Neurospora crassa OR74A: one gene and its partner. The main gene of each other region encodes a partner of the protein of the gene in region 2 in a complex. Links are inferred from orthologs where the notes say so. Each region holds a gene or a part of one and is shown on either strand. Other genes may lie near its edges. The genes, in order: cox-6 and NCU16016.

Region 1 (3,953 bases), on a different chromosome or scaffold from region 2:
CGACGGATACGGCGGCAAGTAGTCGGGGTAATAGTCCTGCGCCGGGCAATGCTAGTGATGGAAACGGGAATGGTGGAGGAAATGGGGGCATAAACTTTAACCCCCGGTGGGGGCACCTCCGTGATTAGGGCAAGACGAATAGGAGTTAGAACCGAACCTGGGGGTCGGAGAGCGAGATCGTTGGGTGCTTGAGAGAAGGAAAGAATGGCTCGGCTGTCGGTCGATGACTGCAGCTGTTTTCCTGGTTCGTGACCAAGGACCGAGACAAAGACAACGATTAAGATGGCTTCAGGTCAGCTTTCCTTATGTCCCTGTCAACGGTGGAATGGTTGGTGAAACGATTGTTTGCTTATTGCTTGTTACCTATTGGTCTTTTTCTTCTTCTTCTTTCTCTCCAGCCGGTAGGAATATCTTTTCACAATACCCATCTCCCTATCTTACATCTTACGGTTCATTAGATCGATTGTTTTCATTTTCTTTTGTATGGTTCAAGGTACTCAGGTTGCATTTGAGGATCGAGGGATGCACATGAAAGAGGTTGAGGCACTCGGCGCATTGGGGTTACCTTTTTCTAGATACTTACTCTACCTGCTATGGATAAAGGCAATAGAATCCAGGTAGAACCAGGCATGACAATCGTGAATCTGGTCAATCTCTTATGACGAATGGTAACCAGCATCCAGCTTTTGTAAAATCTATGGTAAACTCATTACTGCCTTTCGAATACATCTATTTTGCTGCTCTCTACGATCATGGCATGGGATATTCATCGTCCAAACACAATCCGTGACACAACCAACTGTTATCGTATCCAACTCGACAAACAGGTTGAACTCGTTCGATTCCTCTCTCTAAGGCCCTCTTGGATATACTACGCCCTTACTTCCTGCAATAGGAGTTCTCTAGGCAAAGAAACATGTATGGTACCAGGGAATTAGCGTTGAGTGCGCTCTCCTATTCATAGGTTCCAAGCACACACGCTACGCTTTCCCCTTCCACAAACTCCCCCTCCTCTCGCCACAATACTCTCATATCCCCTCTTTTCAAACTTCCAAAGATTCTGGGAGAATAATTGATGGGTCGTTGGAATGGTGATTCTCATGGCATCTTCTAAGTTACGTTGGTCCTAAATTTAGTTGGCCTCCTCGGGGTAGAGGTCCTCCTTGAGGGTGATGCCGAGCTCCTCACGAAGAGGCTTGAGCTCAGCGAGGTACTGCTCGTACTGGCCCTTGTTCTCAACCTTGGCCTTGATGCCTGTTATGACGGAAGCCCGTTGTCAGCATGGTTCTGGTTCCTAAAAGACCGTTTTGCTGTTCCCTATCCACCCGAGCTTATCGGACACCTTGGTATTGACGCATAGGCTGGTCGTCGATGGCTACGATGTGTGCGGGTTTCGGTGGCGGCAGTGATGGATGTTAGGACGGGGGCTCTTACCCTCGAAGACGCGGACAGCGGTGGGGAAGTCGTTGACGCGGCGGGCAGCCTTGAGAGCGGCGGCGAGAACGGAGGGGGAAGGGACGAGATCGTAAGCGAAAGCGTTGTTCAGGTTGCGCTAATTTCGGTATGCCAGCGTCAGTCTCACAGTCTCTTCCTTCCCTTGCCCCTACCCAACAAGTTGAATCATTGTTGTCCCTTGATCGATAATGCAAAAGGTGCGTCGTCGAGTAGGCCGTGAGAGTCGAAGTGGGACGGGAGCATGGAAGGTGGTGCATACCTGAAGCTCGAAAACATCCTGAACGGCATCAAACTCCTTCTCGTAGCTGTTGGAAAAGGCGCAAGTTAGGAATTGGGGAGTTCTCGAGGGCGCATGGAGGTGTTGATGGGGTGGCCCTGGCTGAGGCTGAGGGGAGGAGAGTCGGAGGCATCACGTCATAGTGAAGCCGAGCTAGGATAGGCAGGTAGCTAGCTCGGGCCTGGGACCTCCGGGGCTCGGAGAGGTAGCAGCTTCCCGGCCGGGCTGCCGGGGCAAAACTCACCGGGCAGTGAACTCCTCGAAGGTCTCCTCGTGGTGCTCGGAGCGGAAGCGGCTGGAGGTGCTGAAAAGGCTGACGCGGGCGGCGATGGGCTGGGGGCGGGCAACGGCGCGGAAGAGGCCGGCGGAGGGACCGCGGACGGCAGTGCGGAAGAAGGAGGCCATTGTGACGGAAGGACGGAGGGGGCTACTAGAAGATGAGAATTGAGAGCACACGGTAAGAAGCTGGAACTGCGAAGCGAGAAGACCGGGGGGGAAGAAAAGGCAAGGCGGTAATTGGCGGCGGAGACGGAGAAGCACGCACGTTACGTAGAGGGAGGTACGGTAGCTGAGATGATGGTCTCAATTAATGCTAACGAGGTTGAGGTTCGATGGTGTGCGACGTAAATGCTTGTTCAACCCAAGTGGAAGTCTCCGGTATTGCACTGCATCGGACCATTCGAATACTTCGGCTATGTCTTTTCCGGTTAGCTGACTAGCTGTGTTTTTTCCGCCCTCGAGGTACTTCTGGACAAGCCACTCGGTGGTCAGTGCACAAGCTCCCTAAGCTCACCTTTCCAATTCGTACATGAGCTTGGTATGCAATTGAACAGACAACAGCCCACTTTTCCGCACCAGTAGTGGCTGAAGTGGCTGAAACATTTCTTTAACTTCATAATGAGGCTGATGTCGAAGCAACAGAACGTGGGGTACCTATAACGCCTTCCTGCAGCGAGCCGGATAAATCGACTGTGTGCTCAGATGAATCCGCTGTGTGGAGCCCATACAAACTGACAGCCAAGACCCAAAGCTTGGCATCTCTCGCGCCAAACTTTCGCGATCGCAAGTCATCACCAAAATATCATTGTCTCGACAACGACAACGAAAGCTCAAAACGACTTTTTCTAAAGCGTTGAACTCTCATTTATATGCGGGGGCCTCTCACCGGCCCCCTGCACCCCCGGAACTAACCCTAACACCTAACCCTAACCACTAACCCTAACACTAACCTTGGGGGTAGCCCGCGAATTGCTATACAGTCGATTTATCCATCCAACACAGTCGATTTATCCGATCCGTCCTGCAGCGATGATGCAACCAGTGCGTGTTGCTCATGTCGGTCTTTCACACAATGAAGTGGTGTCTGTTGTTGCGGACATTCACTTCAACTCATCATCGTGTTGACCTTGATATCCCTCACTTTTTTTCTTAGACAATTCCCAGGATTGGGAACATTTGAACCGGCAAGCGCTGGAGATTTACGGATCAACCTATTTATCATCGGAAGAAATTGACTGCCAACCGAATGTTTTGACCGGCACATGGTCTCGTCATCTCAGGATTCACGGCTTGTACACTCGTGTATTTGTGGGTGGATGAATGATGGGCTGATCGAAAGCCAGTATGTAGTTCGGAGAGAGTAGAAAACGCGTCTTGTAGTATTGGTGGGTTGGGGTTGTTGAACAGGCGAGAGCCGCGAAACCTCAAAAAAATGGACTCGATTGAATCATTGAACAAACCGAATTTGTATACCCGCTGGTCAATGTCTTACCGTAGCACTGGGCCACCCCAGGTTGTGAGCTCAATCGCTGGAGGGCAAGCCATTCACCTTCTCTTATACGCACCGTTGGTTCGGGCTCGCCTGGGTGTTTGAACGTCCTCGTATCAATTTCCACGATATCTCTTCCTGATAACCAAGTTGTGAACGTCCTGCACTAGCTACTTCCCCAAACCTCGGCATGGACTCTACACTACTCGTTTGATCAAGAGTTAGCCCGTTGCGGCCCGACAGTTGACGCTCTGCATGATGAACGAGGTATCCGATGTAGGGGGTTGTAGCTATTTGGTGGACCTTGAACGGCCTAGAAGACTGCCCCCAAGTCTCGAGTCAATCATCGATCTCATCCGTGTTTCAACGGGCATGTTGATTTTTGGTAGGACCGACCCTTTTCGATGGAGCCCGCGTTGAGTCGCACCGGAACACTCACGAGATACGATTGAT
Region 2 (3,916 bases):
TTAGGACCTGAGCTTGCACCTGAATTTCCTTTTGCAGATGGAGGTGAATCTGAACCTCCTGATGCACCTGAGTCTGAACCTTTTTTATATAAAGTTAAAGGTCCACGTGGAGATGGTGTTTTTTTTTCACAAGACTCACCACCTACACCCGCAGGTAATTCAAAATCACTATAATATAGTTCTCCAAAAATTCTAGCTAAACTACCAAATAGGTACATCAAGGTTCAAAGATGAAGATCTAAAAATATTGAAGAAGCTTTAGGAGCTTCTACTCCTAAATTGGACGCTTCTACTCCTAAATTGGACTCTACTCAAATCATATTAAATAATCTTAAGCCAAAAAAAGGGAAATTTTTTACCAAATTTTGAGTAAAAAATACCAGAGTTCATATCTCCTGATCATAACAAATATATATACCTTTAACTATTAACATAGTAGGTAGAGCAAAAAAAATAAATATTTTAAACTTCTTAATCATATTCATTCAGATGGCTTTAGATATTTCAGTAATACGAGATTTAGAAGGTCAGTTCCAAATAGATGCTTGTAAATTTGAGGTCACAAAAAGGTGAGGTTTTGGTGGTGTTAAAGTTAGTTTATGAGTTAAAAATTGGATGAAAGTTAAAAGTTCAAGAAAATTAATTTTGCCTCCCACTGATTTCTTTTTGTTCCCCATATGATGATAATCTAAAAAATGATAAAAAAAATGATGAAGATTGTAATGGAAGACTCACGAATGAATGAGGTTTAGGTGGGCTACTTATAGATCATTCTAAACTAGGATAACTTCTATTTAAAAGAGCACGTAAACTATCAGTATAGAATTGTGGGATTGATCATGGATATCTACCTGCGTATTCTCCTTGAACTAGTTGTATATACACAATATATAAGAATAATCAAGAAGCTACTACACTTACGATTGACCCAAAACTACTTATTAAATTTCAACCTGAAAATGCGTCAGGGTAATCACTTATTCTTCTTGGCATACCTTGTAAACCTAAGAAATGTTGAGGGAAGAATGTTAAATTAACCCCTATGAATAAAAGTCAGAATTGAGCTTTAGATAACACCATATTATAATTTAAACCTAATATTTTAGGTACTCAGTGATATCATCCGCTAAACATTGCAAATACAGCACCCATACTTAATACATAGTGAAAATGAGCAACTACGTAATAAGTATCGTGGAATGCTATATCTAAAGATGCATTCGCTAAAACAACTCCACTTAATCCCCCAATTGTGAACATAAATACAAAACCTAAAGCAAATAACATAGAAGGAGTTAATCTAATAGAACCTCCATAACATGTAGCTAATCATGAGAATATTTTAATTCCTGTAGGAACTGCAATAATTAATGTAGCTGCTGTGAAATACGCTCTTGTATCCACGTCTAAACCAACTGTATACATATGATGACTTCAAACAATAAATCCTAATATTCCAATAGACATCATGGCGTAGACCATACCAATATAACCGAATACTGATTTATTAGAATAAGCTGATATTGTTGTACTTATTATACCAAAACCAGGTATAATTAAAATGTAAACCTCAGGATGCCCGAAGAATCAGAAAAGATGTTGGAATAAAATAGGATCACCACCACCAGCTGTTTCAAAGAATGATGTATTAAAATTTCTATCTGTTAATAGCATAGTAATTGCACCGGCCAACACGGGGAGAGATAGTAATAATAATACAGCTGTAATAACTACAGCTCATCCAAATAAAGCTAATTTGTGCAATCTAATTCCTGGTGTTCTCATATTTACTATTGTAGTTATGAAATTAATAGACCCTAATAAGGAACTAACTCCTGATAAATGTAGGGCAAAGATAGCCAAATCTACACTAGGTCCACTATGACTTTGTACACCTGATAAAGGAGGATAAATTGTTCATCCTGTACCTGCTCCACCTTCTATACATGCAGAGAATACTAATAATAGTAAACTTGGTGGTAACAGTCAGAAACTAATATTATTAAGTCTTGGGAATGCCATGTCAGGACCCCCTACTAATAATGGTAACAAGAAATTACCAAATCCACCTATTAATGCTGGCATAACCATAAAGAAAATCATTAAGATCGCATGTGCAGTTATTATAGCATTGTATAATTGATTATCTGCAATGTACTGCACCCCAGGTCCGCTTAACTCCATTCTTATTAAAACAGAAAATGCTGTTCCAAGTAACCCAGAAAATAGCGCAAAGATTAGATAAAGAACTCCTATATCTTTAGCATTCGTTGATAAAAATCATCTTTCAGTTCAAATCGAAATTGACGACATTAACCCGACACTTCTTTTACTTGAATTTAAAGAGAGCCCAAACTCCTCACTATTTAATTGATTAAATAATATAATGGTTTTTATTATAATGGTTACGTATCTTATAAATAAAAATAAAATAAGATTACAACATCTTATTGATTATACAATCAATGCTAACCAGGATATTCTGTAAACCGACCAACAGAATATCCCCGGTAACGTAATTCTGGATCACCTACGTAGGTGATTGACTGACTTACTAAAAAACACACTAGCCTTTCAATGTTTTGTGGACTTTCTTTTTTTTTTTTTTTTTAAAAAAAAAAAAAAAAAAAAAAAAGGCGGAATCACGGCTAAATCAGTATTAGAACCAACGAAGTGCCTTGCTATATTAAGTCAGCTATCCAATATTCCATTAGCCTCATGTAGTAAATTAACTTTTCTCGCTACCCTTATCCACATATCCCCCCGTCCCCCCGCCCTGCAGTACTGCAGGGGGGGGAAGGGGGATTGTGAAGAGTGGATGAGCGCCTTTGGAGGAGCGCACAAGTTATTATTATAATTCATTTTGCTCCCACTTCTAAACCCCCGCAAGCTTGCGGGGGGTTTGTTAGGAGAGCCTCCGCTACGCGAGAAAATGAAGACTTATCTTATTATTTAACCAAAATATTAAAAATATTTTGGGAGGCAATTATTTTTTAGCTTCCCCCCCTGCAGTACTGCAGGGCGGGGGGACGGCTAAAAAAATTAAGCGAAGCTCGCCTCCAAAATATGTAGGTAGTGTATATAAAAAAAAAAAGAAATATTTCTTTACCGGTTTATTTCTTCATAATACATATTTTGTTAAGGCGGGCGAAGCTTGCCTCAGAATCACTCCGCCTTTTCTACAACATCAGTTAAGATACTACTTAGTATCTTATATTCCTTTGTAGCCTACAAGAGAAGATTTAGTTTGTATATTTTAGGGGCTAGCGAAGCTCGCCTCCAAACTAAACTAAACCTAAATTTATTTTACATACAAATAATAAATCGAGCCGCGAGGCGTCTTTTTATCATATATTTTTAAAAACAAAAACAAATATATGTTTTAGTGCTTAAATATTATTATTATGTACTACCCCCATATTATTTAAGCCCTAAATACAGATAATTACTCCCCTTATAGAATTATTTTTTTTTTTTCATTAAGATAGTTAGTAAATTTATTAAATTTGCGGGCAGCTTGCTTCATTTTTTTTTGGGCTGGCGCTTATTTTTTTTAGCTTCCCCCCCCTGCAGTACTGCAGGGCGGGGGGACGGCTAAAAAAAATTAAGCTAGCCTCAAAAAAATTGGCTATAGGCTAACCCTAAAGGATTACGTAGGAATCGAACCTAATCCTTAAGATTTGCAGTCAAAGGGTAAACCATTTACATCGTAATCCTGATCCCTTGCTAAGATCAAATAATTATTTACGGCCTCCTCCGTTTCCCTCCACCCCCCCCCTGCAGTACTGCAGGGCGGGGGGACGGCTAAAAAAAAAATTAAGCGAAGCTCGCCTCGAGAAGTGGAAGGGAGGAAGGTAGGAAAGCTCGCCTCAAAAAAAACCAAATTAGCAAAGCTAAAAAAAATTTTTTTTAGCTT

The links.
Region 1: the proteins of NCU16016 (region 2) and cox-6 are in contact, whole or in part, in a cryo-EM structure (PDB 8DH6), measured with the Saccharomyces cerevisiae proteins. The link is inferred for Neurospora crassa OR74A from reciprocal best matches to the Saccharomyces cerevisiae genes COX1 and COX6. Residues at the interface, in NP_009305.1 of Saccharomyces cerevisiae: Asp496, Phe497, Val498, Glu499, Ser500, Ile503, Leu506, Asn507; in NP_011918.1 of Saccharomyces cerevisiae: Leu66, Phe67, Gln70, Leu73, Asn74, Arg106, Glu109, Ala110, Tyr113.

The regions. Positions count from the first base shown.
Region 1 is NC_026505.1:4,304,013-4,307,965, reverse strand, and holds cox-6 (cytochrome c oxidase polypeptide VI, variant), read right to left. Parts: upstream 2,414-3,953; 5' UTR 2,277-2,413; exon of another isoform or gene 2,163-2,276; 5' UTR 2,138-2,162; coding exon 1,977-2,137; intron 1,761-1,976; coding exon 1,715-1,760; intron 1,553-1,714; coding exon 1,435-1,552; intron 1,255-1,434; coding exon 1,133-1,254; 3' UTR 689-1,132; downstream 1-688. Other genes in the region: NCU06696 (hypothetical protein), read left to right, coding at 1-128. UniProt on the Saccharomyces cerevisiae protein: Component of the cytochrome c oxidase, the last enzyme in the mitochondrial electron transport chain which drives oxidative phosphorylation.
Region 2 is NC_026614.1:37,665-41,580, reverse strand, and holds NCU16016 (cytochrome c oxidase subunit 1), read right to left. Parts: upstream 2,314-3,916; coding exon 640-2,313; downstream 1-639. Other genes in the region: NCU16017 (hypothetical protein), read right to left, coding at 1-677. UniProt on the Saccharomyces cerevisiae protein: Component of the cytochrome c oxidase, the last enzyme in the mitochondrial electron transport chain which drives oxidative phosphorylation.